Linked DNA regions of Arabidopsis thaliana. The protein of the gene in region 1 interacts with the protein of each later gene in a pairwise test. Each region holds a gene or a part of one and is shown on either strand. Other genes may lie near its edges.

The links.
Region 2: the proteins of PPD5 (region 1) and PRA8 interact in a two-hybrid assay, tested with the Arabidopsis thaliana proteins (one large-scale study listed by BioGRID).

What each region holds. Positions count from the first base shown.
Region 1 is NC_003076.8:3,652,618-3,657,147, reverse strand, and holds PPD5 (PsbP domain protein (Mog1/PsbP/DUF1795-like photosystem II reaction center PsbP family protein)), read right to left. Parts: upstream 2,757-4,530; 5' UTR 2,728-2,756; coding exon 2,624-2,727; intron 2,533-2,623; coding exon 2,357-2,532; intron 2,160-2,356; coding exon 2,030-2,159; intron 1,951-2,029; coding exon 1,901-1,950; intron 1,822-1,900; coding exon 1,754-1,821; intron 1,662-1,753; coding exon 1,566-1,661; intron 1,486-1,565; coding exon 1,426-1,485; intron 1,335-1,425; coding exon 1,275-1,334; intron 1,181-1,274; coding exon 1,126-1,180; intron 1,025-1,125; coding exon 975-1,024; intron 890-974; coding exon 791-889; 3' UTR 501-790; downstream 1-500. Other genes in the region: AT5G11460 (hypothetical protein (DUF581)), read left to right, coding at 1-84; CID5 (CTC-interacting domain 5), read left to right, coding at 3,541-3,864, 3,945-4,088. UniProt on the Arabidopsis thaliana protein: Involved in strigolactone biosynthesis.
Region 2 is NC_003074.8:4,494,427-4,498,799, forward strand, and holds PRA8 (PRA1 (Prenylated rab acceptor) family protein), read right to left. Parts: upstream 2,375-4,373; 5' UTR 1,343-2,374; coding exon 776-1,342; 3' UTR 553-775; downstream 1-552. Other genes in the region: CYP90D1 (cytochrome P450, family 90, subfamily D, polypeptide 1), read right to left, coding at 3,904-3,988, 4,214-4,335. UniProt on the Arabidopsis thaliana protein: May be involved in both secretory and endocytic intracellular trafficking in the endosomal/prevacuolar compartments.

The DNA.
Region 1 (4,530 bases):
GAAGAAGAAGCAATCAAGTCTGTCTCGTCTTCAGACAAGGAGTCTAAGAAGAAGAGTAACGGTGTGTTCTTCACCGTGGGCTAATTCCAATACTCCCACCATTTCCATGATCGATTTGAGTCCATGAAAAGAGGAAAAGTAGAAGCTTGAGCTGATCATCTGTTCAAGAAAAAAGAGCTGTTGGTTTCTTTAAACTGAGGCGGCCATGGATGATCATTTTTGTATATTGCTTGTGCTTCTGCTTACCTAACAAAAAAAAAATACTTTTGGTCTCATCTCTCATGGTTTTGGTGGGTGATTGGTCCTATGGCTATTGTTATGGATATTTATAATTATGGTTCATCTATTCAGATATTATTATCTTAATTTATATAAGGGTAGAAGCCGGTTTATGTGGCTCCCCTCTGGCTACCTCTTTTTCATTTGTTAAATTTTTATGCTACCTTGAAAATCTTAAGGAGGCAGTGGTCAATGTATTATGATAGTAAAGGAGGTACTATGAAGAAGAAAGTTACTCCATCTTTTTTGTTCTTTCCCTGTGTATATCATATTCATATGATAGTAAATCTGATTCTGAGCCAAAAACTCTGTGGATACCAGTTGAGATGAGTTTAAAAGAAAATGCTAGTTATATCTCAATCTCAATACATCTGATAGTGAACAAGATATTCGGATTTGGAAAAATCACTTCGCTTGGCTCATTTCTCACACTACAACTTTCATAACCTCCTCTCCTATCAAAATTAACGACAATTTCGAAAAAAGAAATTTCATGAGGCAGATGGAAGCATCACCAAAACCTCCATGGATCCTTGTATGGAGGAACATAACTATCAGTAGGAGGAAGAAGCCTAAAGGATCCTACTGCTCTTTCTAACACCGGTCCCATCTGCATTTTATACAGACCCTCAAAATCAGACATCCTCACACTGATACAATAGATGTACAGAAAGTAGAGGTTACAGGTTTTGTACCTTGTCCCACTGCTTGCCAAGGGTTGAAGCATTTATGGTGTATAAGTATCCTGCAATGAGTGAGATTCAGGTAAATGTTGTTACTCTACATCAGGCTAAACAAACTCTAAACTTTGCATCTCAATCAATTCCCTTGTGAAAAGTTCTTTACCATCACGTTCAGCTGTTGAAGAAATATAGTGTCTGTAAAGCTTTGATGCTTCAGCCTGCCCACATATAGCAAAGCCAGTAAGTCCTATCAAAATCAATCTCCTTATGTCTTTAAACAAGAAGAATCTGCTCAGAGTTAGAGAGCATTACAATTTTGGTTGGTGATTTGCGGACAAGGTACTCGTAGTACCAGTAAGGCTCCCCATCAATCTACATATAGTAAGCATATGAGACTTGTGAGCTTTGTAGATTCAATTTTTTTTACGTTGTTATATGATTTGTTGTGGAAGATCATACTCACATCACTAGCATGAGCATCAAGAACCGAACTCTCTTCAAGACGCTGACTTGAGGTGACACGCTGCTCATTTAAACAATCTGTTTAATGTTTAAGAAAAGGAGAATTGGTAACTGTGATGTGTTTCATGTTAGAAGGGTTACCAATGCTGATTTATCAGACAAAACAGAATCAGCAACTTCTTTAGCGGACCATGTTTTCTTTTCTTTTGATGTTAATCTTGAGTTTGGGGGACCTATCTGAATCAAAAACCGTAAAAGACATATCACGAGAAAGATAGCAAAGAGAAGCAAAGCAGTCTTATGCTAAATGGGCAACACCAGAAACTTACCGAAATAGAAATGACGAGGTTGTCAGTTAGGTCAACTCGTTCAGAAACAATCCGTAAACGTGCATCAGCTGGACCAGTTGAAACAGATTCAGTAACAAGTTAATGCATCCAGAATTCATGAAAATCAAAAGGAAGCATAGAACTTACGAGAGAGTGGTGCAGCTGAAGAGTATCTTTCAGGCTTTCTTGATTCAACCCTGCATAACCAAAATGTAAAAGAGTGAGATACAGCTTGAACTAAAAGGAAGCATTACATCAAAAGGATTCAGTCAATACCATTTGAAGACAAGCTTCTCAGATGGATAATCCAATGGGTAAGCATAAGAATAAGCATTAATATCATCCACCATTGTACCCATTTTCAATTCTTCTCCACTCATTTTCACGTCTTCTTCTGCATGAGTGACTGCAATAACAAAACTGTAAACGTTACATAACCAAAAAAAGTAGATGATTATTAATGGACTAAACACTGTAAGAGATTCTCAATTTTCTTCCTTTCTCTCTACTAACCAATGAAAGGCAAGATTTTTAAGTAGAAGTGAAACTATCTAATTGAATCTACAAGATATTAAAAGACGAACAATAGAAGCAAAGCATTACCTGGAGAAGACAATGGCAAGAACATAGACAACGGAGAAGAGAGACCAATGAGCACTAAATCCCTACGAGAAAGCCCCTTTTCCGAAGAAATTGATCTCGTAGACACACCAGAACGAGCAATCATCAGCTCCTTTGAGGCTCCATGATACTTGCTCGAAATATTGCTGCTCCTGCACCTGAACACAATCTCATCCGAAATCACAAAAACATCTTACAGAAAAAGCCACTGGCTCGAGCACACAAGAAACATCACAAAAGATAATTAACCTGAAAAGACGAGAATTCGGAGAGGGAAGAGAAGGACAGAGAAGAGCCATAGCTATGGCGTGTTCTGGAGCTTCTTCACTTTGCTTCTTCCCTTTAGCTCTCATCCATTCACTCCTTCGTTTTGATACTTTTTAAACCGGTGGTTATCAATCGGTTTATTAAACCGAATTAATTTCAATCACGTATATTAGTATCCCGGTTAAAGATAAATATAACCGGGTATCCAAACGAACCCCATCGTGATGTTTGGTGTCCTTCATGTAAACGGACACTAACCTATACGATAATAATTCCATAAATACATGGGTTTGCCACATTAATCGCATCATTTAGGTCTCTGTCTCTACAATTTATTCGAGCGATCTTCAACGCTAGTTTTTGTTTGGTAAGCTCATTTTCTTCTCTCCTAATGTTTCGTTTCTTCTTCTCCTTTTACGTCGATCGTTGACAAGGTCAACAAACATTATTCCTTCTTTTCATTTTGTTTTGCATATAATCCACTCTTCTTCGCATCATTTCTTCTTTGTCAAGAATCTTTTACTTTTGCCCTGTTTTCTGTATTTTCCGACATCGATTTTTCCATGCAGTAACAACGCGAGCCAGATTCTAATGTAACCACATTTCTTTATTTTAATATCTTCAATTTATTTCCTTTAGATTCCTTATATACTCTGTGTTACGCCATCGAAACGTTGGCTTAGGAGTTAGGTCTCTTCATATCCTTTTTATTTTTTTTTGTTGAAATCATTAAAGGTTGTTTCATCATACCTCGTTAGACCAAATTTGAGATTGTTAGATTTTGCTGCATACGACATGTTTGGTTCTAATCAATATATCATTGTTTTGTATTTCTTTTCTGTCTCTGACTCTTAATTAACTTCTAAATTTAGCAGTAACTTTATCAGCAAGACAAAGCAATGAAGCCAGGAGCATTTGCATTGAATCCACATGCAGCATCGTATGTACCAATCTCCAAAAGAGTGGATTATGGTGGCGGTGATGATGGTTTGGTGTTTGCAGCAAAGTCCCCCACGGTTGAAGTGTCAATGCCGAAGAAATCCTCTGAAATGGCTTATAAGCAGATCAGGGATGATGATTTGGATTTGGAGATGGATATAGACATGGATATTGAATACCTTCTTGTCACTTTCTCTGGTCTCTCACAAGAGTCTATCACTGATGTTTACCTCGCTAATGGCGGTGATCTTGAAGCAACCATTGAGATGCTGAATCAGCTTGAGGTATATTCATTACTCACGTTTATTTTTTGTTTGATGTAATGATCTTAAGTGATGATTTTGATCACTCTTTTTCTATATAGATATACAGCACTGAATCTGAAGAAAACCTGCCAGAGACACTTGATATTGGGGATATCTCTGAGTCAGGGCCTTCAACATCAAAATCTACTGAAGTCGCTGCATCCACATCATCGGTTATCCCTAATGCACCTGTATCGGCCTGATCTCATGAATCCTTTAGTTGTGAAGTTTTGCTTCTTCTTCTTTTTCTTTTGTTTTGGTTTGCATACCCATAATAAGTACAGTAATGGGGGTATTGTATCAATGAAGTTGATGGTATCTAAGAGAAATGATGATATGTGAGTAGTTGGAAAATGTATAGTTTTGGAAGTTCAAATCTGAGTGGTGTGTTGTTTGGGCAGATTAGATTAGTCTGGTCTTTTTTGACCCCTTTTTTTATTTTGCAGCTCCATCTGTGGATTGGATTTTCCTATGAATAATATGATATTGATATGTTTATTATGGTGTATATGTAATCATCCTTTTAAAACTAGTACCAGTAACTTTGACAAAGGAGAATCTTTATAAGTTATAACCTTATTATTAACTTGTAAACCGAAATAAACTGAAATCTTCATCCGTTTAGAGCAAATTTTCCTGCAGGCT
Region 2 (4,373 bases), on another chromosome or scaffold:
TTTTTGCTTCAAATCTTTACATTGGAAATTTGAATAAGGCCTGCATATATATCAAGGATTTTTGCTTCAAATTGCTCATTTGTGTGACCCAAATGAAAAAAGAACTTAAATCAAGACCAAACTTTTTTTCCTACTTTGAAGGTGAACCAACCTGAATAAACTTTACAACAAAAATTGATTATTTTTTTGTTACGGAATGCAAAAAGGGAATATTCATTACAACCCATTTTGAATTTATAATGTTTGACTTATTAATTTGATTATTTATTATGTATTTCAGATTAAATCATTTTAAATATTTCAGATTAATAAATCATTCCAAGAAATTATTCCTGAGTTTTGCGAATATAAAATACTCCCTCCGTCCCACTAAGATGAATTTTTTAGAAATTGCACATTTTTTAAGAAATATTGTATAAACATAATTTTAACCTCTTAATATATTTTAAAAATAATAATAAATATTTATCTAATTATTTAGTAAGGGTAAAACGGGAAAACAATTTTAAAATTTGCATTGCAAATATAAAATTTCTATCTTTGTAAGACAAATATTTTTCCTAAAAAATTTATCTTTTATGGACAGAGGGAGTAATAAAAATTATAACAAATTAGAATTGTTCAAACTTCAGACAGAGCTCAAAACTCAGAAAACAAAAGAGAGAGAGAAAGTCTCAAACCAAACTCACACCAATAAAAATTGATTACGCATAATTAAAAAAACAAGATAATATACAAAAATAGAAAAGATACACAAATTTCGAGATGAAACGATTTAAGTCGACGGGTATGACGTCAGCCCAGAAGTCTCAGTCGTCGCCGCTTCTTCATCCAAGAAAAGATCCTCCGTCTTCCTAACCACCGAATGGATCAAAACCAACACAGCTCCGGTCACAAGCGCTCCAACAATATTAAACGTCGCGTTGGTCAACAGGAGTAAAACGACGGTTAACACCGATAAAACAATCAAGACCGTCCGATCATCGATCTGAAACCGGAACAGCTTGATAGGCTCATCACGGAGAAAATACAGAAAGATCCAAACAACGACCAAGACGGTGAAGACGATGAGCGATGTCGGATGCCAGATCAAGCTGAAGAAGATAACGATCAAGACAACGATTGCGTAGTTCATACGGAAGTAAGCAAGATTGGTCTTGATTCTTGTGAACGCATCGGAGACACCGTGAGGCAGTCCCATGGAGTGGAAATCGAACATCACTCTCCAAGCACGGCGCGTGGCTAGCCCGGCTTTGATACGGTGTTTAGCGCGTGAGAGAGACTCGACATCCACCAACGGAGATGCATGAGACGACGTCGGAATCGCACCGTAGTTCGTCATTAGTAATATCGGGTTATGGTTTAGCGCGTGTGAGATTGAATAGAGAAAGTAAATGAAAAGACTGTTTGTTATGTGTATATATGAATTCTGAAAGGTCCCAAGAATTAGGTGATACACATTTGCATATGGCGTTTTCTAAACTAATCTATGTTTATGAAATAAAACAAAATTTAATTAGATCGTGTTTTAAAAAGATTACAATATAGTGTAACGTGAGGATTTGATTCACTACTTGGTCAATGTCTGAAAAGTATAAGTTTTAGATACTCGAGATTTGGGTAACAGCAATTTATAAGTAGATGAATTACTACATGTTGAAGGACTATATAGTTAATTTGAAAGACTAATGATAAAGTAAGAGACACGGTGTCACCGAGCGAGAGTGGCATTATTGAATAGTCGATACAGGCTACACGTGACCCCATTTTAGAGGAGTCTCTCTGGCATATAACTACTCTTTCGCCACGTGTAATGTCGGCAGGAACAATGAGTAAATTATTTATAGTCTCCCTCGGACTTTATCATGATTTTTAGTCAGCCCAATTACAAAAGATATTGGCCCAATACAACGAAGGTTTCATGTCACATGCTCTCTCTCCATTGGACGATCCACATCGATAGGCTTCTTTAGCGAGCCAGACTCATGGCTGCTTTAGAATTGATCCCGCTCTGTGAAACAAGAAAATAGTTAGCTTGTGTCAAAGCACAATACATATAAGATCAAAACTATACCAAAATGTATGATGGATTACAAAAATCTTAAGTTTTTCTCCATAAGAACCAGAGAAACCTATTCAACAAGATTGCTTAAATCAAAGGTATATTATATAATGTAGCTTTCGTTACAAGTAAGCAGAGAAGCAAATACATATATGTAAATCAAGTAGTACCAGATCCACATCACCTATTTTCAAAATAATTCTACATTTTTGTATATCTCAAGGTCTTCCAACAGTCTCTAGTGTCTGCCGCAGCAAACAAAGGTTCTCTCACGACTGTTCAGGGAGACTAATTAATCCCAATAGATGGGGGATATGTTTCACTGTTACCATTACCAATCTTATATGATCACCACCCACTAGAACTAAATGGTGATATACTCATTATATACTCTTATTGTTCCAATGGTTAGTGATCATACAAGATTCGTGATTGTAAAACGTATCCGCCATCTCTTGGATTAGTATCTCTGAAATTGTCTACTTACATGAAAAAAAAAGTTAGTGTTCTCCATGGCCATGCAAACTTCACCAAAAAAAAGCTATAACAACGGAATTTCGGGCTGGACTTATCATCAGCCAAACGAGAAATAACTAACAATAAATGAAAATCAAGGTCTTGAAAAACTCAAAATAGGGAATAAAAACAAGAAAAGGCTCAACGGCGGCGATAACATAAGAAATACCTATTTGCCTAAACAGTTGCCCGTCTTTGCCAATATATAGGCTTTTCTATTATGCAACTTTTGGGCCTTTAACAGGCTTAACGGATGGATCTCTTAAAAGTGAAGCCCTCTTATCCAAATCAATTCTAAAGGCTATTGTGTTAACATAAACAACTCGTAGTTACAATAGTGAGAAAAATGTAATATAGTACAATTAGTGGTTAGATCTGGTTGTTAGTGATGTTCAGTTGAAACAACACAACTTTCTTGTCTTGTCACGTTGTTTAAATCAATTTCAGTGGGTTGTTATGTTAATTACATCATATCATATAAGTGGAGGAGAAATAATATGACTTTGCTTAATCATTCATTATTACATCTAAAACTATTAGAGACTATTCAGAAAAGAGAAAACCATCACCCAGTTAAAAATTAAAAAAATAACTAGTAACTGTAAAATTGCTTAGGAAGCGTTGGCGTAAGCTAATGCTTCTCTGGATCCGTTAATGTCTTCAAAAATTTCCTAAATCTATTGTAGCTTTGTTTTTACTTTTTTTGCCAAAGTTGCTTTTGTACTGGTTTTCTTTGTAACGCCACAACTTCATTATTAATGATATTAACATATTTAGCAAAAAAACTGTAAAATTGCTTGAAATAGATGTAGACTATCATAATATCTTTATTAGACCATTCTTTTGGAAATATATAAATGATTGAACCAGAATTATAACTTTTCTGTAATGATTTTCTTAGTTAATAATTTAATATACGAAGAGGAATAGTCGTCCTTAACATTTAAAAAAAAAAAAGAGAGAGAGGAAATAGTCATGAAAATTAGGATTCTATATCATATGCATAATTATCATACACCTTTGTACTTCAAAAAAAAAATATATATATATATATATATATACGGTCAACAAAAAGGTTTTGTGATTCTGTCCTTATTTGCCTTGTGAAGGAATACGACAAAATAGTTGGCATGTGTGCTATCGTCTTCCACACGTGTGAATCATTTTTTGTCTCCAAACTCCATCATGTTCTCTTTTTTTCTTACCTTTTGCTGTCTCACTATCTTTTTCACTTCCCACTTACAAAACACTCGTGTGACTTCTTTAACCTTTTAGAGTTTGATAATGCAAAACTGATTCTCCATTTTTCACTTAAGAAAAATGATTTATATTCTTTTGATCCAAATGGGTAATTTGTTCTTCATATGCACCGTTGGGAAGTTTATGATTGTGTCTTCTTCTGCTATCCATCTGCATATCATAATCACCAACATATTTTCAAATAAGTCTCTGTATATCGTTTAAGAGTTAAGTCCAACTTGTCAAAAAGAGATTAGACATTTAGATTTATTTGGTCCGAACGTACCATTTTGTCTAAAGTGTAGAGCACTAATTACCACACCCTCTTGTTTGTTTTGAAATTTAAAGATTACAACAAATATTAAATAATTTTGTATCCATGTAACTGATAGTTACCTGAAGCGAGTGACAAGATGGTGAAGAAAAACTGAAGTTTCAAGACGAGCCAAATCGAGACCAGGGCACAATCTCTGACCACCTCCAAAAGGACTGAAACTACTCGTGTTCATGTCCCTTTCCTATTTTGTGAAGAAATGAATTAAATATATAATTCGTA